Linked DNA regions of Oryzias latipes. The protein of the gene in region 2 purifies or fractionates together with the protein of the main gene of each other region. This does not show direct contact. Links are inferred from orthologs where the notes say so. Each region holds a gene or a part of one and is shown on either strand. Other genes may lie near its edges.

Region 1 (3,655 bases), on a different chromosome or scaffold from region 2:
CATTAAAAAGCTCACCGCCGCCGTGTGAGATTTTCGGATAGGAAGGGGAGACAAGGAGCCCGCTTGGCGAGCGCGGAGCGCAGAGGCGTGTTTGTTTGTTTTGGAAGGAAACTTCTGACGCGCGCGCCGCGCTGAGGCACGCGCTTTTCGGTCGCCGCTGCTTTATTTTAGTTGTGTGTGTTTTTAACCAGCCCTGTTATTCCCATAACGCTGCCGCGACACAAGCGGAAGGAGAGCTGTTCCCGTTCACCCTCCATGCACTGCTGCTCCTTGCTCATTCTTAAACACGTACAACAGTGTGACGAGCCGGGCGTTGGCCCCGCCTTTAGCCCCTAAGACTCATGGGAAATGGGGGATCGCGGATGTAAATTTCCTCATCATAACTGAGGGATGTAATGTTGATTACATGGTTACTGTTTGTAATTTTATGTATGATACCTAGATTGTCAATAAGTAAAAAAAAAAAAAAAAAAAAAAACATAACTGAGAAACTTGTGAACAGAATAGAGGTCCATGCTGTTAGGCAGATGTGGGTGTATTCAAATAAATGAGCCTGAGGCAAGGCTGGCCCCTGCCACAGAGTTATTACTGAGTCACACTTATCCTAGGAATCAGGATGTGATTTGTCAGGATGATCATGCTGCCTAATACATGCGGCTTGTACTCTAATGCGGCTTGTGTATGTACAAAACTAGTTAAACACGTTAAAATGGGTGGGTGCGGCTTGTAATCGGGTGCGCTGTATAGTCCGGAATTTACGGTATATATCTATAGATGGAGATATATCTAGAGATAGATAGATATATATATATATAGATATAGATATAGAGATATAGATATTAATTAGGGATGTGTGATATTTGTAACCAATATTAAAATAACCAAATGACTTGCTGTATATGAGCAAATGGCAAAAAACAAAAACACTGACACATCATTTCGATTTCCCTGCAGCAGTTTTATTTAGATTAGATTTGATTTGATTTGCTTTGTTATTGTCTGTTGTACAATGAAATTGAAGCATCGCCATTTCAGTGCAAGAATAGCAAGGAATAACTATATGTAATATTAAATAATCAGTATATACAAGTGGACAAATATAAACTGTAATAAAGAATGTCTGAAATTTGTGTGCAAAATTGTGAAACTGAAAATGCACACAATTTGTGTGCATTTTATGTTTACTTTTTTAAACAAAAGTAAGCATAAAATGTTCTCCATATGAACCTCATCTACATAAGATTCAGGCATCTAACATAGAAGGACCCCGTCTGATTGGTCAAATATGAAAAATTAGAAAAATATTTGATTCATTAGATACTTGAAGCTGCCATGAGATTGTATTACTGTGTGTAAATATTTAAGGTAATCCTTTATCGCCGTGTTTTGGGAAATGCGTAGCGCACAGGCTTGATGTAGCGATAACATTTGTGATTGATCCAAATAGGAACTTTATGGATTCAGACAGTAGCAGGTTGTACGATGGACTGAGTTTTACGATGGACTAGTGCTTTTGTCTTTGTTACTGGGTATTTTTATTTGTTACAGTTTGTTTAAATGATCAGCACTCTGACTGGTTAAGTATAAATAACCCTAAATAGAAGTTGAAAACCAGATAAGGGTTACAATGCAAAAAAACAACCAAGTAATGTTTTTTCTTAGTGTCAACTAAAACCTGCTATTTGATGTTATTTCTATACATTGTATTTCTCCAGTGATAAACCCGTCCTGCGTGTCTTGTCGACCCATGACTCCTGCTGGGAAGGAGAGGCCCGTAGGAGAAGAGTTCATGCGGTTTTTACCCATGTTCTTGTCTGACAATCCAAACCCCAAGTGTGGAAAAGGGTAATGGATCCTCCCTGAAAACACAAACGCGTTCTGTGATCCTCGCCGGTTCTTGCTGTAATGTTTTTCATGCGTGCCTCTGCAGTGGTCATGCAGCTTATGCCACAGCAGTGGACCTGAAACCCAACGACGGCGGCGTGGGAGCCACGTACTTCATGACCTACCACACCATCCTGAAGGACTCTCCAGACTTCATCAATGCCCTGAAAATGGGTCGAGTCCTGGCAGAAAACATCAGTCAGTCCATCAACCACAAGGCTTTTGCCTACAGGTTAGTTTGGTTGGATTGAATGAAATGAATTCCATTTCCCCGTCGGCATAGCAGGTTTTGCTCACTAAGCTGCTAATCGTTTTTCCTTATTCCCGTTTTCCCTTTGCAGCGTCTTCTACGTGTTCTACGAGCAGTACCTCACCATCGCCTACGACACGGCGCTGAACCTCGGCGTGTCGCTGGCCGCCATATTCGTGGTGACCACGGTGCTGTTGGGCTTCGAGGTGTGGTCCGCTCTGATGGTCAGCATCACGATCGCCATGATCCTGGTGAACATGTTCGGGGTCATGTGGCTCTGGGACATCAGCCTCAACGCAGTGTCTCTGGTGAACTTGGTGATGGTAAGGAAACGGCGGGATGGACGGGGATCGCCGTGAGTCTGAGTTAGAATGAGAGTTTCAGTTTTTGGGGTTCGGTCTTGTCCGTTAGGATGATTCACCTGTTGAAATGGAACTAGGCCGTGTCTCACTGATGCAGTAAATGTGTGCTGCTGCCTCCTCTGTAGACTTGGCCTCCATCTTCTCTGCTCCAAGACTACCTTTGGTTCACTTTAAATTTACATAAATTGGTTGTTAAACTGTCAGCAATGTTAAACACTTTTAAAAAGGAGTTTTAAAAGTACTAAAATGGCACTCAGTCACACCTGCCCTAACAGGTGGATAAGAGCTGTCTGCAGGTGAAAAATGGGCATTCAGATGTTGGGTAAATTACTCTAAAAAGTAATTGATTACCTTTCTTAGTTACTGGATTAGAATTGTAATTAAATGATTCTACTTATTACCTATTGGAAAAAGTAATTCACCACTCATTACTTTACATTTCTTCCTCTCATATTCAGTTTCTCAAAGGGGAAAACAGCACAAACTAGACCCTCTTGTATTTCTTTTAACTTTATTTTTACACCAATGACCTTGTGCAAAGAATGAACCTGGTTCAAGACACAACCTGGTTTTATTATAGTTTACAGACGTTGCAACACATGTGGAGAAAAAATGTCATGTTTTCATGTTTTACGCTGTGCAGCTTAGAGAGAAAATAAAGTAAGAGAATGAATTAATAAATCTGTGCGTGCAGGCTTGCACGTACAGTAACTTTGTTCTTTTTATTACTTTTGTTTTGTTTCATTTAACCGAGACATTTTTACCCAAGTACTGCAGTAACGAGGGTTTCCATAGTCCAGTAATTAAATTTTTTATCTAAATTCGAACTGTATGTCGTTACGTTCCTCCGTTACTGACAAATGTACCGTAATTTCCGGACTACAAGCCGCTACTTTTTTCCTGCGCTTACAGCCCTGCGGCTTATTCAGTGACGCGGCTAATTTATGGATTTAATTAGCGGCCGCCATGTACGTACTTTCGAACTCAGTGAATAGTTTGTATTCTTTATCTAACACCAAGCACAAGACATTTATATTCAACACACCTCTAAGCAGCCAAACAGCATGGACTTGACTTCAGGTCTTAGACACTTCAGTCATGGTTCAACAAAATGAAACACGCATGCCCGGCCGCATCCCAGAATCCTTTGGGGCCATTA
Region 2 (4,316 bases):
AGTAGGACAAGTCACTGATGTCTGGCTCCAACATGGCGACGTTCTTATCGCGGAAAAATGCAGATTGAATTGGCTGCATTTAGTTGGAGCCGGAAGTAAGGCATTTTCTATGGGTGACGTCTCACCCACTCAGTCCTGGGGGGTATTCCAGGAAGCAGGTTATGCTAGCTCCCACGGTAAGTTTGAGGCTAAGGAAGTTGATAACCTCAGCTTTCGGTTCCAGAAATGGAGGTATGTTTCAGGGTATGTCAAGTTGCCATGGCAACTCATGCTCTGAACACAACCTGGTCTGGAGCAGGTTTAGTTGAAGCTTAGTTTGTTTTCAGAGAGGTGAAGCAGCATGGCGTGTCCATTTGAAGATGATTTAGTGGATGAAGAAGCTCAAATAATACTTTTTCCACTATGAGAGGGTGATAAGACCACGTATGGATGTTGGAAAGATAAACTTTGTTGATGTAACTTAATTATTTGCTTCAGTTAATATAATTAAAAATCATTTTTTTGTTTAGTCAGTTTAAAAATAACACGTAGTTTTCAGACAGTTATTTTATTTTTATTCAAATGAATTCAATTAAGTAGGTGTAACTTTGCTGCTGCTGTTAGATCGGCACCACAAGGGATTCTGGGATATCATTCCCTTTGCCTGTCTGGACGGATTTGGGTTCAAGTGTGGGTTTTTGACCAAATGTGTTTAGTTGTTTAGCTGTTTTACTGTGTTTTGCTGAGTTATTTTGTCCTACTCTGCACCATGACTGAAAGGGAGGGAGAGGATGATGAGTTTATATAGCACCCCTGCTGCCTATTGCTGTAATGACAATGTCGGAAAATTTCTAAATGGATGTATTCTCCAGGCGTGTATCGTTTTGTTCTTTTTCTTGTTATAAAAATGAGTATATCTGCCAGCTCAGACTTAAACATTTGAGAGTTCAAGAATTATAATTCATTAGGATGGAAAAATTATTAATTGAATTGGAGTAATAAGAGATTTAGTTAAATAAATATGTAAATTTGAGTTGTATAAACAATTATTGAGTTTTATAGACGTAAGAAATTAGGTTGAATAAATTTAACTCAATTACTTGTTACCAATAGAAGTAATTCATTTAAGGTGGCAAAATTGGTGTTTAAACATGCTTCTTGGAATACCCCCCAGTTCTCTTATAATGTCAACTTTAAAAAAACGATTCAAAGGGAAAAACAAAAGAAACAGAAAAACTAACGATAATACAAAATGCCAGCTGTTACAAAAATGAACAATTTTTTCAATTCAAATTTCAAATTTCCCCCCAGAATTTCAATATTTCTTTCAAGTTTCTAATTTAAACTTTTATTTTTTCAATTTTTCAATATTTCCTTCAATTTTGAAATGTGTAATTTGGAGTTTAAAACTATCAAGTTTACGATCTGGTTTTAGATCCACTTTAATCTGATCCTGATTTGACGCTTTACTGCTTGTTTACCTGAATGTCCGCTTGTGTCCACTGCAGTGCCAAACAGCAGCAAGTATTCTGTCAAAGAGGCGTGAAGAAGACACATGGAGCCCATCCAGCCTCCTGCATTAACAAAAATCCACTGCAAGTCTTCATCAGGCAGGATGCGGCCGGGATATCTAATTAAGGAAAACCGAAGAGGTTACTTAGATTAAGTTTCTATCAAGAGCTAGAATATTGAGATAAATGTTACAATTAAAAACACGTGAAAATCACATCAACAAATCACTCAACACACAAAAATATTAAAGATCACAATGATCACAATAAAAAAAGGAATAAAATAGAATAAGACAAACAAATAAGGTGACTGACTATAAATAATAAAAAATAAAGTGATCACTGTAAAAATGAGAAAAATGCAAAGTATGTTTTGCTTTTTAAATTGCTGTTGTGAAATTTTAGGTTTTGGCATTTCAGGGCCACCGTACATTTGACATTACATGGCGTTAACTCTTAACAGCAGAAAACTACTGAAATTTAACTACAGACAATCCTTTTTTATACATGAAAACATGTTTGTTAACTGCAGCTTTACATTTACGTAATATAATATTAGCTGACTATTCAAAGATGATACATTACTATAAACGGAGATTATTTAATCTGTATCAATATCTTTGATTTATTTAAACTTTCCTTTTTCATCTGGTTGACAAAAATGTAGAAAAACATATTTTAAAAAAGTAGAACACGATGAAATTTGCTGATTTAATTGTCTTTACAGCATAATAGTTTTAGCAAAAACAATAATAATTTCTTCTGACGATTTAAAAAATCTTACTTAAAAAAATTATAATTGTTTTGTTCAAAACCAAAGTATTTTCATACAACCCCCCCCCACCCCCCACAAAACGACAGTTAATTGAAAAAAAAAATCTACAATTGAGTAACTGAAAGTGAACTGACCTAACAAACAGTCAAGGAGATTTGTGCAAGAACAAGTCGCTTTTACCTTTTCCTAAGCTCCACCACCACTTTGGTGAAGGCGTGTTCATGATCCTGCCCTAAAAAAAGATGCATACACAAATAGCACAATTCAACACCATGAAGTGTTAATGGCAGAAAGGTCAACATCATTTTCTAACCCAATTACAGTTACTTAGAACTGTTAAGCGAGTGAAATGTCGTTCATTCTGATTGTCAGACTCGCCTGCATACTGTTTGACCAACTTGGCAATATCGTCTCTATTAAAAACATAGTCCTTTGTGGCCATCCAGTTCTGAAGCACCAACACAACCAGGACGCCGACGGAGGCCAACACGAGCAACTTAAAAATGGCTTTAATAAAAGACATGGTGGCACAGACAGCTGCAAATCCCGCTACATGTGTGAGAAGGCTTGCTCCATAAGGGAAAAGTGGAATGCCTCCTTCCTTGTCACGTGACAGCAAGAATGGGTCATTTTAACCAATCAGAGGCAGACTTCGTCGTGGGGCGAACTGGCGACAGAAAGTTGCCAGCACAGTATCAAAACCCCCTCTAAGATCATTTGTACAAACCAAGTGAAAACACGTACATGCTTCGAATAATTTATAAAATATTTATATTTACTCACAATATGATATTATATTTGTCTGTGTAATTCAATGTACATCTGTTTTGTTTCTTTCTTTATTTTTTAAAGCTTTTTTCGCGATGTTTAACATTGTTTCGAAATGGCACTTTTGGGTCGTCCGACGAATAACAGGAAGTAAGACAAGGGTCGCTGTAGACAGACCATTCATACAGAGTCCAGGATCAGTGAAAAGGTTCACCGAATATTATAGACTTTTCTTCAGCTGCTTACATCATGAGCGGCGAACAAGGCGTGAGTTTCGACCCAAAAGGTGTGTAAAATGAAAGAAACCAACACTCTGGAAAAACAAAACAAAAAGAGGCATTCTGTTTTGCGGCACATGATATTTACTTTGAAAACCTGATGATCATACACTTAAGAAAAGGACAGAAACATAACTAATAACGAGTTCATAATCCAGTCGTTTTAAAAGACAGACGTAGCAAATTACTATTCAAATTAGTTAATAAGTGATAGTGTCCATAGCATATCCAAATGAAAACTATTGAGGCATTTGTGTTGTTTGTTAGTTAGTAGATTACTGAATTAACAGGTAAACTAATCTGTTAGCTTATGTGGTTTAAAAAAAAAATCTCCCAACAACTGTCTCGTGATTTTAGTTTCTGCTGATGTTGTTTTCTGGTTCAGCAGTTTTTTTGTGCCTGCTGTGCGACAACGAAACCTACTTTTTGCTGTTATGGTAAATAGTTAAAACCAAATTGATTTCAAATGACAGATGAAATTATACATGTTCTCAATGAAAACTTATGTTCCATGTGCTTTGTTTTTAGAGGTAGTTGTTGTGGTGCAGGGGTCTGCAACCTTCAACACTTAAGAGCCATTTGGGCCAATTTCTCACTGAGCACTATAATCCAGTGGCAGGAACCACAAGTCTTATTTCACCTTGTAGAAAAATAAGACATGAGTTTTTATTGACAATAATGTTATTGGTACTATTATGATGAGTATAAATATATATTTTTCTTTTTGCATAGATAAGACAAACATAAAGAGAAAACAGCCTTCTTTTCAAATTATGAAATACTTTAGACAGAGGTTTACATAACTGGCTTTCAAAATAAAAGACTCTGAACCACATACCACCATTTCAAAGCAGACAATTTGGTAAGTTGTGTGAAAAACAAAATAAAAAACAGTTTAATTTATTTTTATTTGTAGGAGATCTGACAATCAAAAATGTAAATCTAACTTATTTGAAGCCTTAAAATGTAAAGTTTCAAAACTTAAAATTCCTTAATTTGTAAAAA

What was found.
Region 1: the proteins of sigmar1 (region 2) and npc1 purify together in Homo sapiens (affinity purification with mass spectrometry; 3 studies listed by BioGRID and IntAct, with this or other methods). This does not show direct contact. The link is inferred for Oryzias latipes from reciprocal best matches to the Homo sapiens genes SIGMAR1 and NPC1.

What each region holds. Positions count from the first base shown.
Region 1 is NC_019875.2:28,656,885-28,660,539, reverse strand, and holds part of npc1 (Niemann-Pick C1 protein), read left to right. Parts: intron 1-1,715; coding exon 1,716-1,845; intron 1,846-1,930; coding exon 1,931-2,116; intron 2,117-2,225; coding exon 2,226-2,457; intron 2,458-3,655. UniProt on the Homo sapiens protein: Intracellular cholesterol transporter which acts in concert with NPC2 and plays an important role in the egress of cholesterol from the endosomal/lysosomal compartment.
Region 2 is NC_019870.2:19,566,400-19,570,715, forward strand, and holds the start of sigmar1 (sigma non-opioid intracellular receptor 1), read right to left. Parts: upstream 2,884-4,316; 5' UTR 2,789-2,883; coding exon 2,644-2,788; intron 2,498-2,643; coding exon 2,446-2,497; intron 1,610-2,445; coding exon 1,461-1,609; intron 1-1,460. Other genes in the region: galt (galactose-1-phosphate uridylyltransferase), read left to right, coding at 3,283-3,319. UniProt on the Homo sapiens protein: Functions in lipid transport from the endoplasmic reticulum and is involved in a wide array of cellular functions probably through regulation of the biogenesis of lipid microdomains at the plasma membrane.